Linked DNA regions of Tamandua tetradactyla. The protein of the gene in region 1 binds, or shares a complex with, the protein of each later gene. Links are inferred from orthologs where the notes say so. Each region holds a gene or a part of one and is shown on either strand. Other genes may lie near its edges.

What was found.
Region 2: the proteins of RAB1B (region 1) and TBC1D20 are in contact, whole or in part, in a crystal structure (PDB 4HLQ), measured with the Homo sapiens proteins. The link is inferred for Tamandua tetradactyla from reciprocal best matches to the Homo sapiens genes RAB1B and TBC1D20. Residues at the interface, in NP_112243.1 of Homo sapiens: Ser17, Gly18, Ser36, Tyr37, Ile38, Ser39, Thr40, Ile41, Gly42, Val43, Asp44, Phe45, Gln60, Trp62, Ala65, Gly66, Gln67, Arg69, Phe70, Thr72, Ile73, Tyr77, Glu94; in NP_653229.1 of Homo sapiens: Gln97, Gln98, Leu101, Asp102, Arg104, Arg105, Leu107, Arg108, His141, Tyr142, Tyr143, Gln144, Gly145, His147, Asp148, Phe177, Met178, Asp179, Pro180, Thr181, Met182, Lys186, Val212, Ile215, Leu218, Ser219, Thr223, His227, Met272, Ala273.

The regions. Positions count from the first base shown.
Region 1 is NC_135335.1:8,163,074-8,170,684, reverse strand, and holds the start of RAB1B (ras-related protein Rab-1B), read left to right. Parts: upstream 1-4,567; coding exon 4,568-4,695; intron 4,696-6,310; coding exon 6,311-6,383; intron 6,384-6,659; coding exon 6,660-6,755; intron 6,756-6,870; coding exon 6,871-6,966; intron 6,967-7,611. Other genes in the region: KLC2 (kinesin light chain 2), read left to right, coding at 1-155, 277-376, 884-987, 1,083-1,150, 1,592-1,700, 1,821-1,979, 2,056-2,180, 2,413-2,470 and 1 more. UniProt on the Homo sapiens protein: The small GTPases Rab are key regulators of intracellular membrane trafficking, from the formation of transport vesicles to their fusion with membranes.
Region 2 is NC_135327.1:22,340,626-22,348,746, forward strand, and holds the start of TBC1D20 (TBC1 domain family member 20), read right to left. Parts: upstream 3,081-8,121; 5' UTR 2,938-3,080; coding exon 2,868-2,937; intron 1-2,867. UniProt on the Homo sapiens protein: GTPase-activating protein (GAP) specific for Rab1 and Rab2 small GTPase families for which it can accelerate the intrinsic GTP hydrolysis rate by more than five orders of magnitude. Also shows GAP activity for RAB18 GTPase.

The DNA.
Region 1 (7,611 bases):
CAGATGTGGCCAAGCAGCTGAGCAACCTGGCACTACTGTGCCAGAACCAGGGCAAGGCTGAGGAGGTAGAATACTACTACCGGCGGGCACTGGAGATCTATGCCACACGCCTGGGACCTGATGACCCCAACGTGGCCAAGACCAAGAACAACCTGGTACCCTAAAACTGGGAGGAGCTGGTAGGAAAGAAGGAGGGAGGGGAATGAAAGGGGAGAGAGGAGAAGAAAAGGCTCAGCTTCTTGCCACCTGCTTACCTTCTGGGCCCTACCCCTCCAGGCCTCCTGCTACCTGAAACAAGGCAAGTATCAGGATGCAGAGACCCTGTACAAGGAGATCCTCACTCGCGCTCATGAGAAGGAATTTGGCTCTGTCAACGGTGAGTCCATCTGTGGCTGCCATGTGCCCCAGCTCATTTGGCACAGGCCTACTCAGCCATCAATATCCAGGGCACACACCGCGGGGGGTCAGGCCCACGCCTTGGATGGTCTCCCAGGAATCTGTGTACCTGTGAGCACCTGTGGGCAAAACACATAAGCTGCACAGCCTCCTTGGGCCTCCCAGGCCATATACTATGCATACCCCAGCCTCTCTGCCCCTCTCTCCACTGGCCACTTCCTGCTCACCTCAAGGACCCAGCGCAAATGTCTCTCCCTCTGGGAAACTGGCCTCTGGCTCCCCGATGGTCAGTTGTTTCTGCTCTGGGGTCCCTGGGAACCTGGCCCTTTGTTTAGGCCTGGCACGTGTCCTTCTGCCCCCGCCAACCCGACCACCAGCCCCTCAAGCACAGTCCTGTGCCATGTTCCTCTCTGTTCCAAAGAGGGTCTGTGTCTTGTTCATTCATTCAACAAAGCCTGACTCTGGGTACCCCTGTGCCCCACCGCAGACTCCAGCGGGGGCCTATATGGGAGGCAGATGACAACCCCCTTTGTCTTCCCAGGGGACAACAAGCCCATCTGGATGCACGCAGAGGAACGGGAGGAGAGCAAGGTAGCTCTGTGGGGCAGGATGGGCGCAGGTGTCAGGGGAGGCTGGAAGAGGCTAGATCTTCTCCTCCCACCTCCCCTGACCATTCCTTCCCCCAGGATAAACGCCGGGACAGCACCCCATATGGGGAATACGGCAGCTGGTACAAGGCCTGTAAAGTAGACAGGTGAGGGCAGCAGGACAGGGCGGGTGTAGCACAGGTAGCAGGGAATCAGCATCCTGGGTGGGGGCCAAGGCCCAAGCTCCACACTCTATACTGTCCACACCCGGAACACTCACTCACCTCTTCTCTGCCAGGCCATCTTTCAAGGCCCAGGTCACAGGCCACCTGTGCCAAGAAGGCTTTCTTGACCATAACAGCCTGATTATCTCACTCTGGGTCTCCCAGTTTTTAGCCTACCAGGGCCTTGGTACCAGCACCCAACCCTGGAGTAACTCCTCTGTGATTGGGATGGCTGGGTGCTTAGCAGAGGGCTTGACACATAGAAGGGCCTAGAGTTGAGTTGGCGAAATGGTTCTTCGGGGCCCACGGTGAACTGAGTGCCAGGGCGGGCCCTGGGTCCTGGGGAACATGGCGTCTGAGACTGTCCTGTTGTTCTCCCTACAGCCCCACAGTCAACACGACCCTGCGCAGCTTGGGGGCTCTGTACCGGCGCCAGGGCAAGCTTGAAGCTGCCCATACGCTAGAGGACTGTGCCAGCCGCAGCCGCAAGCAGGTGGGGCTATGTGCATGGGGGTGTGGTGGGGCCCTGGGGGGCCCTGTGTTCCAGGCAGGGCCTGTTTTACCACCTGATGTCCCCTGCACCCCCTAACGCCCCTCCACCCTGCTTGCCCAGGGCCTGGACCCTGCAAGCCAGACCAAGGTGGTGGAGCTGCTGAAGGATGGCAGCGGTGGGCGGGCAGACCGCCGTGGTGGCCGAGACGTGGCTGCAGGTGCCGGGCCTCGGTCGGAGTCTGAACTCGAGGATGCAGGGCCTGCAGCTGAATGGAGCGGGGTGAGTCTCAGGATGGGGCCAGCTGGGAGGCTGTTGTAGCCAGCGTGGCACAGAGACGAGCCTGCCCACCCCACAGGACGGAAGCGGCTCTCTGCGGCGCAGCGGCTCCTTTGGGAAGCTCCGGGATGCACTGAGGCGCAGCAGTGAGATGCTGGTGAAAAAGCTGCAGGGCAGTGGCCCCCAGGAGTCCCCTAACCCCAGGTGAACCCCCCTCCCAGGGTGCATCCCTCAAGAACCCACCCAGCATACCGGCCAACTCCAAATGAGCTCCTGACCCAGGATGAGCTCCCCCATCTCTCTCCAGCCCCACCACCTACCAAGTCTGCTTCCCTCCCAGCATCCTCCCTCCCTAGCCCCAACCTGACCCCTTTATCCTATCCTCCCCCCACCACCACTTCCACCTGGACAAATCACAGTCACCCTTTCCCCTCAGGATGAAGCGGGCCAGTTCCCTCAACTTCCTCAACAAGAGTGCTGAAGAGGCAGTTCAGGTATGGGTGGGTGGGACCCCAGGGCCTGCATATTGCCTAGTTTCTCCTCGAGCCTCTGTTCCTGCTCCTCCCCCAGCATCTCTATGCATCTGGCCACATTTCCAGCCACATTTCTTGTCTCTGTCCCAGGCCTGGCTTTGGGCTGGTCAGTGGGGAGACAGATGGGGGAAAGTGGGCCCTGCCCTGGGGTGGCCAGTGTCAGCACAGTAACCATGGAAATGGACAGGACCATCAGAGCACAGGGGTGGCTTTGGGTCAGAACAGGCTCTGCCTCTGCCCCGCTCAGAGAAGCGGGGCCAGAGAAACCCAGACTGGCAGCAGGTGAGCTAAGTGGCCTGCCCCCTCTGCCCACAGCCTGGAGGCACTGGCTTCTCTGACAGCCGCACGCTCAGCTCCAGCTCCATGGACCTCTCCCGACGAAGCTCCCTCCTAGGCTAATGCTGAAGGGGCAGCCAGTCACCAGAGCTTCCAGCCGGCACTGACCCCTCCACCCCACCCCAGCCCTGCGCATGGGCCTTGCTGCTTGTCCCACTTGTCCTTCCCAAGGACCCTCTGTCTTTTCTGTTCAATCTCAGGGTAACCTCCTCCCTTGTCATCTCAGCCTGAGCCCCGGAGGCTGGGTCTGCCGGCTCCAGCTCCCACCCCTTATTTATTCCTAACAGCAGGGCCCCTCTGCCCCAGCTTCCGGGGCCCCCAAGGCCAGCAGGAGCTGGCCAAGGACTCTAAGGTAGAGACTAAGCGACCGCCCTCCCCAGATCCCGGAGCTAATAACACTAAGCACCCTTCAGCACCCCTGCCGTCCCCCCCCACCCCCGGCCGTTGCTTCTGTATATAGAGAAATAAGTTATTGGCCGTTCCCCCCGACCTCTGTCCACGGTACTACCCCGGCCTCTTCCCACTCCGCCCTTCTCTAGTGGTACCGCCCAGGCCTTAATCACCCCCATTCCTCGCGGTGGCTTCTCCCAGGCTCCGCATCTCCGGGTCGGCGCCTCCCCAAAGGGTTTCCTAGACCTCGCACTCCTTCTGGCCTCAGAGGGCACACCCTACCCGGCCAACCCCCGGTGCCCCAGCACGGAGCGTCCACCCCTTGCCCGCCGCCCCCGCCCCGGCCGGCTGCGTGCGGCCTTCTGCACTGCCCCTCCGCGCGGCCCTGCCAGGTGCGGCTAGACCCCGTCCCGGGCCACGCCGGTCGAGCCATCCTGCCACGCCCCCTCCCAAGGCTGCAGCTTCTCGCGCCGGGCGGCGATGAGCAGCCCCTTCCGCGGTGACAGGAGGGGCTGCCCCAGTTGTGGGGGATGGCGATCGCTCTCCGTTTTCAGATGTTGCTGTAGAAATAAAGACGGTTTGAATCTGAGCCGGGCTTGTTTTGGGGACGAGGCCGAGAGCCCCCCAGCGTCACCAGATCGGGGGGTGGGGTAGGGGGGACTGACGGGGGTACAGAAAGATTCCGTGTGGATGGAGGGGCGGGAGGGGGTGTCGCTCACGTCCGGCTCCTGAGTAGCAGCTCCTTGCCGGAATTATTTGGGGGCCCATTTACGTGTCTCAAAGTCCTCCGGAAAGGTTCAGTTCTTCTAATAATCTTCACCTCTGGAATTATTATAGAGAGCGAGGGCTTGGATGAGCTCTGCCCTTACCTAGACTGTTTGACCTTGAGCGGGTTCTCCGAGATTCGATTTTTTTAATCTATAAAAATGTGGGTGATAACACCTTCCTCCTGGGTTGCGGTTGTGAATCGGCAGCCTCCAGCACACGGAGAAACCAGGAAAAATAAACATCTTTTACTCGCATCCGCCTTCGCATTTAATGCTCACAAACCTGGGAACTGGGAAAGTGGAATGACTACCTCCGTCAGAGAGAGGTTAAAAAGACGGGTGACCCGCTCCCCCCCGCCCAACCCCGGCCCTAAAAGCAGCTTTCGGCGTCCAGAGCGTTGCCCTCAAGCTCAGGGCTACCCAGAGGGTGAACTACAAGCCCCAGAAGGCAAAGCGCCTGCGGCGATTGGGGGGGGTGGGCTCTCTGGTTTGCGCCTGCGCAGCGGGGGCGAACAGGACAATACTACAAGTTCCGATAAGCAGCGCGACAAGGCCGAAGGAGGGAATGTTTGCGCCTGCGCATCGCGGGCGGGGCTTCTGGGGCGGAGCGACCACCATCTTGGAACGGGAGGCGGAGCAGAGCCGACTGGGAGCGACCGAGCGGGCCGCCGCCGCCGCCATGAACCCCGAATAGTGAGTGAGCCCCGCCCGCGCCGTTCGGCGCAGCCTCGATCCTGAGTACGGGGCTGTACGCTAACCGGGCTTGTCCGGCCCGGGTCAGGACTGCGCGGCGCCCCCACATCCGGGTCCCTCTTCCGCTGACCCCCCCCCCCAAAAAAAAACCACACACACATCCGGGTCCCGCCCCTCCCCCCGGGGGCCCCAGGACCCCGGCTCGATACCCCGAGTCCTTGCATCCAGAGCCCAGAGACAGCGACCCCAAAAGCCGCGCTTGGAACCCGAGGCACAGACCCTACCAGGCCTTATCAGTCAAGTGACCCTGCAGCCCGGGTCTCTCCCGGCCTCAGTTTCCCCACCTACGGCCTGGGTGCAGACGACGGTCCCAGCATTTTGGAGCCTGCGTGATAGTCTCTGGTCTCGGGTTCAGACTCTGGCCTTTAAGTAGGGGGCCGTAAGTCCTTCTGCCCTTCCCGTTCTCCTGGAGCCCCGGCCCGGCTCTGGTCAGACGCGGGAAGCGAGGCGCCGCTCTGGGCCGCGTCTCCGGCGGGTCGTCCTTTCCCGGCGGCCGTCCCTTCTTCCCCTCCCCTCACCTTTGCGCAGGCCCGCAGCTGCCACTGTCACACCCCTTCCCTTGGCTCCCGCTCTGCCGGTGAAGTTTAAGTTTAGATGACTGGTGGTTGCTTCCCCCCTTTCAATGGGGTTCTCTGTTCCTACTTGTTGGTCACTCCCCCTATGGGTAGGTGGCCCACAGCTCGCACCTCGGATTTCTAAGTGACAGTTTTTCCCAAGGAGCAGTTACTTTCTTCCTCTTTTGCCACTTCCTTTTCCTCTTCTGGATCCTGCCCTCAGGTTTCCTTGGGAAAGGGTGAAATACTGTAGAATTATAAGGGGGGCCAGAGAAGGGAACCAGTAGGCTACCACAGAGAGTGGAGTCTGACAGACCTGCTTTCAAGTCTTATGCCTAGGGCGAGTCTCACTTCTCTGACTTCGGGTTTCCTCCTTAGGGGAGAGTAACACCCACTTCACTGGACTGTTGTTAGTGAGATGACACGCTTGAAGTACTTAGCGCAGGGCCAAGCACAAGGAGGAACTCAGTGATATTAGCTAGTGTTATGCTGATGCCACTTATTGGTTAATTTCTTCCTGGTGGCTTCATACCAGGCTGTTTTACACAGATTATCATTCAGTAGGTCCTGTATGGGTTCTGGCTTCTACTTGTGGGGTACATTATAGGGTGTGTAGCAGGGTTTCCCTAAATAGCCCCTATTGGACAGAACTGCCGAGTCTGTCAGGAATCAGGATAGGATGCCCAGTTCTCTCACCAAACTAATTGTGATCCTTGCTAAGTCATATCCCTCTCTGTGCCTCGGTTTCCTCCTCTGAGAAGTGGGAATTCAAACACAGCACACGGAAAGCCCTTTGGGGTAGATAGCTGGTAAGGTGGGGTAGACAGCTGTGTAAGGTAAGGGGTGAGTCCCCTCTCCCCAGGACTGGTGGGAGGACCTGGTCAGCCCCATAGTATTCTGTAAAAGGAGGGATGCCTCTCAGTGTGGGAGAATACCGTAGTTGTGACTCGAAGATGATGGCGGGTGGGCTCCCTTCATGCCTTCCTGTTTTCTCTCTCCAGTGACTACCTGTTTAAGCTGCTTTTGATTGGTGACTCGGGTGTGGGCAAGTCATGCCTGCTTCTGCGGTTTGCTGTGAGTAAGAAGCCTCCTATACCACCCCTCCGGGGTTCTGGCTGGGCAATAGGGGGTAGCGGGGGCAACTCAGAACACAGTAACTGTGAGACCCAGGGACCAAGGTTGAAATTGCAGGACTTGCTGGGAATACTTCTGATTGAACAGAGGCACAGGGCTGGCCGGTTAGGGTGCTGAGAACCAGGGTTTTACAGCTAAGAGCTCAGCTGAGGCATGGAGCTGGAGGGGGTTTTCCAAATGGGCCTCAGGCCTGTTCACTGGCCCCCTACCTTCCAGGATGACACATACACAGAGAGCTACATCAGCACCATCGGAGTAGACTTCAAGATCCGAACCATTGAGCTGGATGGTAAAACCATCAAACTTCAGATTGTGAGTATTGCTCTTCCCAAAGCCCCCGGTGCAAAGGCATGGGCCTCGGGAGGGGAGGGGGCCTCTGAACATGGAGCTGAGAGCTGTCTGCCCCTCTCTCCCTGCTGTCTTGTAGTGGGACACAGCCGGTCAGGAACGGTTCCGGACCATCACTTCCAGCTACTACCGGGGTGCCCACGGCATCATCGTGGTGTACGATGTCACCGACCAGGTACTCCTGGCCTCTCGCCTCCTCAGCCTTAGGTCTCTGGCTCTTGCTTCTTTTTTCTCTTCCTGTCCTCTCTTCCTGATGCTGCTTTGAAAGGAGACTATATTCAGACTCATTTCATAAGGCGGGAAGCAGCCACCGAGATGGATCTTCCAGGAGTGCAAGGTTTTGGCAGAAGCAGCCCCTTCCTGTCCCATCCCCCACTCCCACTCCCGCCATCTTCTCTTCTCCGGATTTGCTACCTCATTCTACACCTCCCTGTCACCTGGCTTTGGTGTCGGTTTAGTCAGCTGTTTGGCCTCCTGCATGGAAAACACTGTGTGGAAGCATTTGGACATGGACGTGAGGGAGCCTAGAGCTCTGGTCCCAGTGTAAGCAGGGTCTAGGAGTCCTGTGCCCACCCCCAGCGGTACAGTCGCACGTCCTTGGCAGCAGTGATGATAGAATTGTGGTGTGAACAGTCGGAAATCGTCCTGCCATACCCTAAAATATACTGAACCTATCACAGCCTTTGTGCTTTTTGATGTTCATTACATCCCCCAAAAGTCTGCATTGTTGTCCCATTTTACAGATGAGGAGATGGTCCCAGAGTGGTGAGGAGGCTTGGGAGGGTCCTGCAGCTAGTTAAGTGGCAGGTGGAAGGCCTAG
Region 2 (8,121 bases), on another chromosome or scaffold:
AAGGTACGTCAAATAAGCCACCAAGCCATCCACCCCACCTTGCAAGTATTTCACTGTATCTAATGTGTAGGCTCTCATCGTGACATAAAAAAGGAAGAGAAAAGGGAAAACTCAGGTGAGCCAAAGATGTATAAATTACAGAGATAAAGTTAACTGCTAGGCTACATAATGAGGGAGAAAAGAGTAGCAGTGTCAAATGAGCAACTAATTTACATATCTTCTCATCTCGGAAAGAGAAATACCACAGAGCTATTTATTCTTGGGATGCTCAGGAAAGATTCAAATTAATGCTATGTATTTTATTTTCTTATTCTTTTTTTGTATGCTGTATGGTGGGGGTCACATTTCATTCTTTTTCTATTTGAGTATCCCATTATTGCAACACCATTTGTTGTTGTTGTTTGCTTGCTTTTCCTTTGTTTTGCTTGTTCGTTTTTTGGGGGAAGTACATGGGTTGGGATATCTATTTTATTTTAAAATAAGTTTTATATCTGGATTTGGGGTTGAGGCTTACATTTCCAGACTGAGACTGCTCTATCTGGGCTTGGGATAAAAGCTCACATTTCATCTGAAGTGGCATATATGCAATTCAAATCCCCTGAATTCTTTCTTCTACAATTTCTTTACTGCCTTTCTTATTAGAGAGGTGTATTATGCATTTCAAAGCTGCTATCTTCCAAATTTCTTTATAGTAGAGGTCTTAGATATTATAACGAGGACTGAATGAAATGATTGTCCCATGGTTGACTGTAAAATATAAGACTCTTCTATAAATAAATTTCCTGATGCCTGGAAAGTAATTCATTCAATAAAGCAGTAGTTCTTAACAGTTCAGATAAAGTAAAGATGGCTGGAGCCCAGTTATTGCCTCAAACCTCTCCTGACTTTGGGTACAGAACCCAGGTAAGGACTTCTGCCTCCTCAGAGCAACAGGTACCTCTAACAGCAACCGGCTTGGGCTCTTACTAGTTTCCTGTATAGGGAACAGGCAATGACTAAAGAAACCACTAGAAGTTTTTCCATATCACCAAAATAAAAGTGATTTAGATAAGGTAAATGGTCTATATGCAATAATGGAATCTTATGTGAGACTACAAACTACCATATTGATATTTTATTTAAGCTTGCACATCAAGAAAACGTCACAGTCTTTAAACAGAAGTTAGACTACATAATCCTGGCCTTAATCAAAACAATGAAAGAGCTAGTCAAAGAGAGAGTAAGAGATCCTCCCAGACAAACATCCTCTTACCCCACTGATTTCCCGATGCTAACACTGAAAACTGACTGCAAAATTTATGCTTGAACTTGTATCAAAGAAAGACAATGGGAAAGGAAAATCTTACTTTTACCTTCGGTAAGGTGCTTATTAAAAAAACAAGATAAAACAAATAAGTCTCTGTTTTGGGTGGTTCTAATTAGTTTCAACAAAACAAATTAGCAGAGATTCATTACCTGCTTAAAACATAAAGATAAGGACATATCTAGAAAGACTGCTTTACCCCAACAATGGAGAAAAATATTCTAGACAGCAAATCAATCTGATCATAAACTGTACAAAGGAGGGCTTCTAGTATTAGTAACTTTGACAACACTAATATGACTAAAAACAAGGACAAAAATAAAAAAAGTCATCTCTAAATTCCTCACACTCATAGACGTCTAGTCTAGCAACCTAGGCACAGCTGTGAGCAACAAGTCACAAGCACCATACTGCTTGGACACTGACTATTATGCCATGAGGGCAGATGTCACAAAACATCAGCAAAAGGTTATAATGCCAAAGGGCCCATAGAAGTATATCGGAAGTCAGCTCCACCTCCATCAGGTCACAGAACGGAAGAAAAAGGAAATAACAGAGAATGAGCTCAGAGGAAGATGTGGCTAACAGATGTTTCCTCAAAGCATTTGGGTTGAATAGGCAGTGGTTCTATTATGGGCACCACCCATGAGAGGACAGGAAAGTGGAAGGCCACCTTATTGCTTCCCAAGGGACATAAGATTATTGTAGTTGTTATACGGCGAATATTGAAGGTTTTTTCATGTACTTATTGCATGTAAAACATGTCTGGAAACAATGCACAACAAAAACATGATTTCACACAAATCACTGCTTAAAATGAAACTAAGTTAAAAGAAAAAGAGGATCACCTTCTAGACAATTAAATAAACATTAAGATAGGTGGCAAACGATAGAGGTGGAAAGTAAATTAGTAGTGGCTAGGGGCTGGGGAAGGGGGAGTGACTGCTAACGGGTACAGGCATTCTTTTTGGGGCCACGAAAATGTTCTGGAATTAGACAGCGGCAATGGTCATGAATATACTAAGAATCGCTGGATTTTATATTTCAAAAGACTGAAATTTATTACCGAAAAAATTTTTAAGTGACAAATGGACATCGCGTTACGTCACGACGCCAATATATGAATGAAGTTTGAGAAACCTGCCTTACAGCAACAGCGGAAGCACCAGGAGTCTGGCACCAGGAGTCTGCGGACGTGGCCGGGCTGTCTCAGGCCGGGGGTGAGGCCTGGGCTCCCATCTCAGTGAGATGCGATTCTGCCACCACCGCTCCTCTAGCCACCTCAGCCTCCGCCCGATCCCCCACTTTCAAGTCCTCTCCCCCTTTCAGACCTGACTCGGGCCCTTCAGCCTTTCCCTCCCCAGCCGCGCCGACCCCCGCCCGCGGCCCTGGGCGCGTCCGCCTGCGTGTCCCAGCTCCGCTGCCTCGGACCCTCCAGCCAGCGGCCCCTCCCATGCCACCTCTGTCCCAGGCGTGCTCCCCCCTGCCTCTCAGGCCGCCCCTGCCCCTCAGGCCATCCTCGCAGGCCACTCCTGGACGCCCCGGCCCCACCCGGCTTCCGTACCTGCCTTCTCCGCGTCCCTGGGCCAGCGGCTGGAGGCAGGACCATCGCCCTGCGCACTCCGGAGGGCCATGCCCCGGGGGCCCGGGCCCGGGCCCGAGCCCCGGATGATAGCAGAGCTTTGAGGAGACGCAGCTGCGACGGCAGAACCCAGCGCCCACTTCGCGAAGACAGGCTCGGCGCCTTCGGCCCACCGCGCGCAGGCGCGTAGGCGTTCCCGTGCGGACCCCGCCCCCGCGCAGGCACGTGACTTTCCCCTAAACTGGGGCGACGGCGCTCGCGCAGGCTCCGTGAGCCGAGGGGACCGGGAGAGTTGAGTTCAACTCAGCTGTAGAGTTGTGCTCTTGCCCGAGTATGTTTAGGGCCATATTTTGTCATTTATTTTGCTTTTCTTATTTGTAGAATGGTGCTGCTGAAAATAATAGTACCGAACTCTCAGGGTTATTGAAAAAGTGCTACCAAACGTAGTAAATAGTCCGCAATTATGATTCCACAATTATGAGCTATTATTTTTTGCTTGCCAAGCACTTTTAACTCTTACCTCACCTCTCCACAACTCTTGTCATTATACTTGGCGACTTCGGGACTTAGCGTAAGCAAACAGCTGCGGGTGGTGCACTGCACAACGCCAGGGGGCGCCATTCAAAATTTCGATTATATGAACAGTCTTGTGCAAAGTAATGGCCACCCATTCAAAATAGTACTGCTGGCTCGTCAGGTATTTCACTTCCTTCTTCATATTTCGAGACAGTCTCCTTGTTTCCAGTTAGCCGCTCATTCCTGTGATCAAATCCTTCCTACTGTCAACAGCAGGACCTGTCCAGCCTCCCAAATATCTAATGCTAAGCCCTCACTCTGAAGTTTCTATGATTCTGGTTGCTCAAAGATCCCAGCCACATCAGTTCTTTATTCTCATGAGACCTCCAGCCCATGGAGCTCACTAGCCCCTCCTAGCTTCGTGTCTAATCTGCCCAGTCTAGATTCCATGGTCTACTGATACATTGTAAGTCCTTTTTTTTTTTCTTTTTTTTAACTTTCTCTGGGTAGTTTCAATGAGCCGAAAAGATTACTTGGAAGCTAATTTGATTTTTTTAAAAATATTTTTATAGTAAAATCTTCACACGCATATATTCCATACATGTATAATATCACAATATCATCACATAGTTGTGTATTCATTGCCATGCATTTTTTAGAACGTTTGCATCACTCCAGAAAAAGTAAAAGAAAAAAGATATGTACCACACCCCTTATCCCTCCCTCTCATTGACCACTAGTATTTCCTTCTACCCAATTTATTTTATCCTTTGTCTCCCCTATTATTTATTTATTTTTATCCATTTATTTTTTTAACTCATCTATCTATACCCTGGATAAAAGGAGCATCAGACACAAGGTTTTCACAATCACACAGTAGCATTGTAAAAGTTATGTCTTTATACAATCATTTTCAAGAATCAAGGCTACTGGAATATAGCTCAAGTTCCAGGTATTTCCCTCCAGCCACTCCAATATATCATTGTTCTAGTTTGCTAGCTGCTGGAATGCAATATACCAAAAATGGAATGGCTTTTAAAAAGGGAAATTTAATGAGTTACTAGTTTATAGTTCTACAGCCGAGAAAATGTCCCAATCAAAACAAGTCTATAGAAATGTCCAATCAAAGGCATCCATCCAGGGAAAGATACCTTGGTTCTAGAAGGCGGATGAAGTTCAGGGCTTCTCTCTCAAGTGAGAAGGCACATGGCGAACACAGTCAGACTTCTCTCTCGGCTGGAAGGGCATATGGTGGACACGGCGTCATCTACTAGCTTTCTCTCCTGGCTTCCGGTTTCATGAAGCTCCCTGGGAGGCGTTTTCCTTCTTCATCTCCAAAGGTCTCTGGCTGGTGGACTTTCTGCTACGTGGTGCTGCAGCATTCTCTGCTCTCTCTGAATCTCTCATTCTCCAAAATATTTCCTCTTTTATAGGACTCCAATAAACCAATCAAGACCCACCCAAATGGGTGGAGACATGTCGTCCCCTAATCCAGTTTAACAACCATTCTTAACTAAATCACATCATCCAGGGAGATGATCTGATTACAGTTTCAAACCTACAGTATTGGATAGAGATTATTCTACCTTTATGAAATGATATTTTGATTAAAACATGGCTTTTCTAGGGGGCACACTTCCTTTCAAACCAGCACAATCATAAACTAAAAAGGGATATCTATGTAATATATACGAATAACCTCCAGGCTAAGCTTCCGACTGTCTGAAATTTTTCAGCCACTGAAACTTTTATTTGGTCTCATTGCTCCTTTCCCCCTTTTGGTCAAGAAGGCTTTCTCAGTCCTTTTATGTTGGGGCCTGGCTCATCCTGGGTGTTCTGTCCCATATTACCTGGGAGATTTACACTCGTGGGAGTCATGTCCCACGTAGGTGGGGAGGCAGTGAGTTCACCTGCCAAGTTGGCTTACAGAGGGAAGTCACATCTGAGCAACAAAAGAGGTTCTCCGGGGGTGACTCTTAGGCCTAATTTAAAGGAGGTTTAGCCTGTCCTTTGCAGGAATAAGTTGCAAAGAAGCAAACTCCAAGACAGAGAGCTTGGTCTATTGATATGGTTGTCCCCACTACTTGTAAGAATATCACAAATTCTTCAAATGGGGAAGTGGAATGTTTCATCCTTTCTCCTCAGTCCCCCAAGGGCACTTTGCTAATACTTATTTATTCACTGCCCAAATTACTCTGGAATATATAGAAGCATCACACCAACCTGGACAAACAAACAAGATCTCATGCCCTATTCAAGATTCCATGTACTTATGGTGTTCAGCTAAACTTACCATACAACTTAAATTAGGAGATACTCTATCCAAAATATAGATTTTACACCAAATAAACATCTCTCCCTTTGGTCTCACAGAAGTTGAAGTTTTAAAATATGGACAATATATCCTTTACCCTGTATTCTGATTTACCTTAGTCCTATCCACATCAGTTTCATTCATATCTCTAGTTGATGTTTGATCATTTTTTCAACTTTTTAAATAGTTCATATATGGGGTACTGCTGACTTTCATAACTTCAGAGTTCTAACTCTGAGTCCCAGGTGTCACATAAATGCCTGAAGTTTCTGGCAATGACTAGGTTATAAAAAACAGCTCAGTATCTCAGAATTTAGAAATAACAGTTACAACTTCTGAATACATATGATGCTGTGAGATCTTACAATCTAGGACGCTTTACAATAGGCTCCAATCTGACAACTCATGCTCTCAACTTCACATTGCTGAGTTTTTATACTATAGTTAGTCCATATGATTGAGGCATGAAAACATTTGTCTCCTTGTTCCAAGCAATTCATTTAACCATATTGTCCTTTAAATTCATACACTTAGTTGCACGCCTTACAACTTCATTCCTTCTTGGGGCTGCTCAGTAGTCCATTGTATGTATATACCATAGTTCCTCAAGGAAGTTAATTTAATTTTTAAAGCTAATATTCAATGGATTAAATCCCAAAGCCTAATTCTTCCTTAAACTTTTCACTTCAATGAACAAATTTTACAATTCTATTCATAATCTAGTAAATTTAACAATCACTTGGTTGGTTCCATTAATAAACTTAATTTCCTATGAACCACTGAAATTGCATTTATAAATGTAATCATTCACTTTCCTTAAAGTATCATAATCTTCTAACAAAGTCAAGTTCAAATAGAACTCCTGTAAATGTAATAAGTTAAAGTTATAAATATATTGAGTCATACATTCTTTTAAATATGCTAATACAAACTGAATAAGATCACATAGATTCCTTAACACAAAAATATTAACACTGAAAGTTTGAAAATATTTCTAGTCTTTGATCTAAATCATCACTGAGGTTAAAAGGTGCCTTTGCCCACTGAAGAAGGAATTAAGTCATTCCAATTTAGCATTATTTATTCCCTCTTGTTTACCGCACTGTCCTGCAAGACAGCTGGATTCTGGCCTGTGATAATGATGGGACAGTGACCCTAAAAAGGCTACCTAGCAAGGTAACAAAAGGTCTGGGATTAGTTCCAGGTCTCTTAGCTCCCAGCAGCCCCTTCCTCTCCCCACCATCACATCTCTGGGGCTAAATAGTTGCCTATTCATTGTGAGGCTTGGCCAGCTCTTGTCCTCTGAAAATTAAGTTGACAGGGGCTCAGAGGAAAGGAAGGATAGCCAAGCTATTGTCAAGTATGCAAAAGTTTAAGTATCAGATACCCCTTGTTCCAGGCTGGTAACCCATCCTCCAGGCTGCACATTGCCCAACTGCACTTCTTTACCATGGAGCTCTAAAGGTACAGCATGACAAGAAGTGCAGGTCATTTTACCTTATATTTCCTCTACACGTGCTCTCTTTGAAAGGAGATGTAGGGGGGCAAGAAGAATATAATAATAAGTTTTCCTGGGCCAGTGGGAGCCAGCCTATGCTAGGGTATGATTTGAGCCACTACCCCGTGGCCTGGCCTTGGAGCCCATCTCTGGGCTGGATCCTGCCAGGCTAGTCTGCCATGGGCCCAAGGACACCAGGAAGAATGAACACCTCAGAAGATCCCAAGTCACAGACACAGAAACTGAACTCATTTTTTAGCTCAACCAATATTCATGGTCCCTACTGTATGGTCAGGTTCATGTGTCAACTTGACCAGATAGTGGTGTCCGGTCTAGTTGGACAAATGCCAGCCTGTCTGTTGCTGTGAGGACATTTCATGGACTTAAATCATGGCCACGTTGGTGGCATTCACAGCTTATTGCATTTGCAGTCAGCTAAAGGGAGTGTCTTCTGCAATGAGTGATGCTTAATTTAATCACTGGAAGGCTTTTAAGGAGGATTCAGAAGAAACAATCACTCTCCCTGCTTCAGCCAGCCAGCCTCCCCTGAGAGTTCATTGAGGACCTTCATTGGAGCTGCCATCTCGTGGCCTGCCCTACAGATCTTGGACTCTTACATCCCCACAGTTGCATGAGACACTTCTATAAATTTTGTATTTACAGATATCTCCTGTGATTCTGTTTTTCTGGAGACCCTAGCTAATACAGCTTGGTACTGGGAGTGGTTCTTAAGAAAGAGAATTTTAAAAATGGGTTTTTACAACTGGCTTTCTACTCTAACTGGACTCAAAGGCACTAATGACTCTGTTTCCTGTAATCAGGATGGCATTGCCAGTCCATGGGGTGAGCTGGCAAAAGAGATAGTCAAGATATCACCATTTGATTCTGCTAATTGTATGCTCATACGA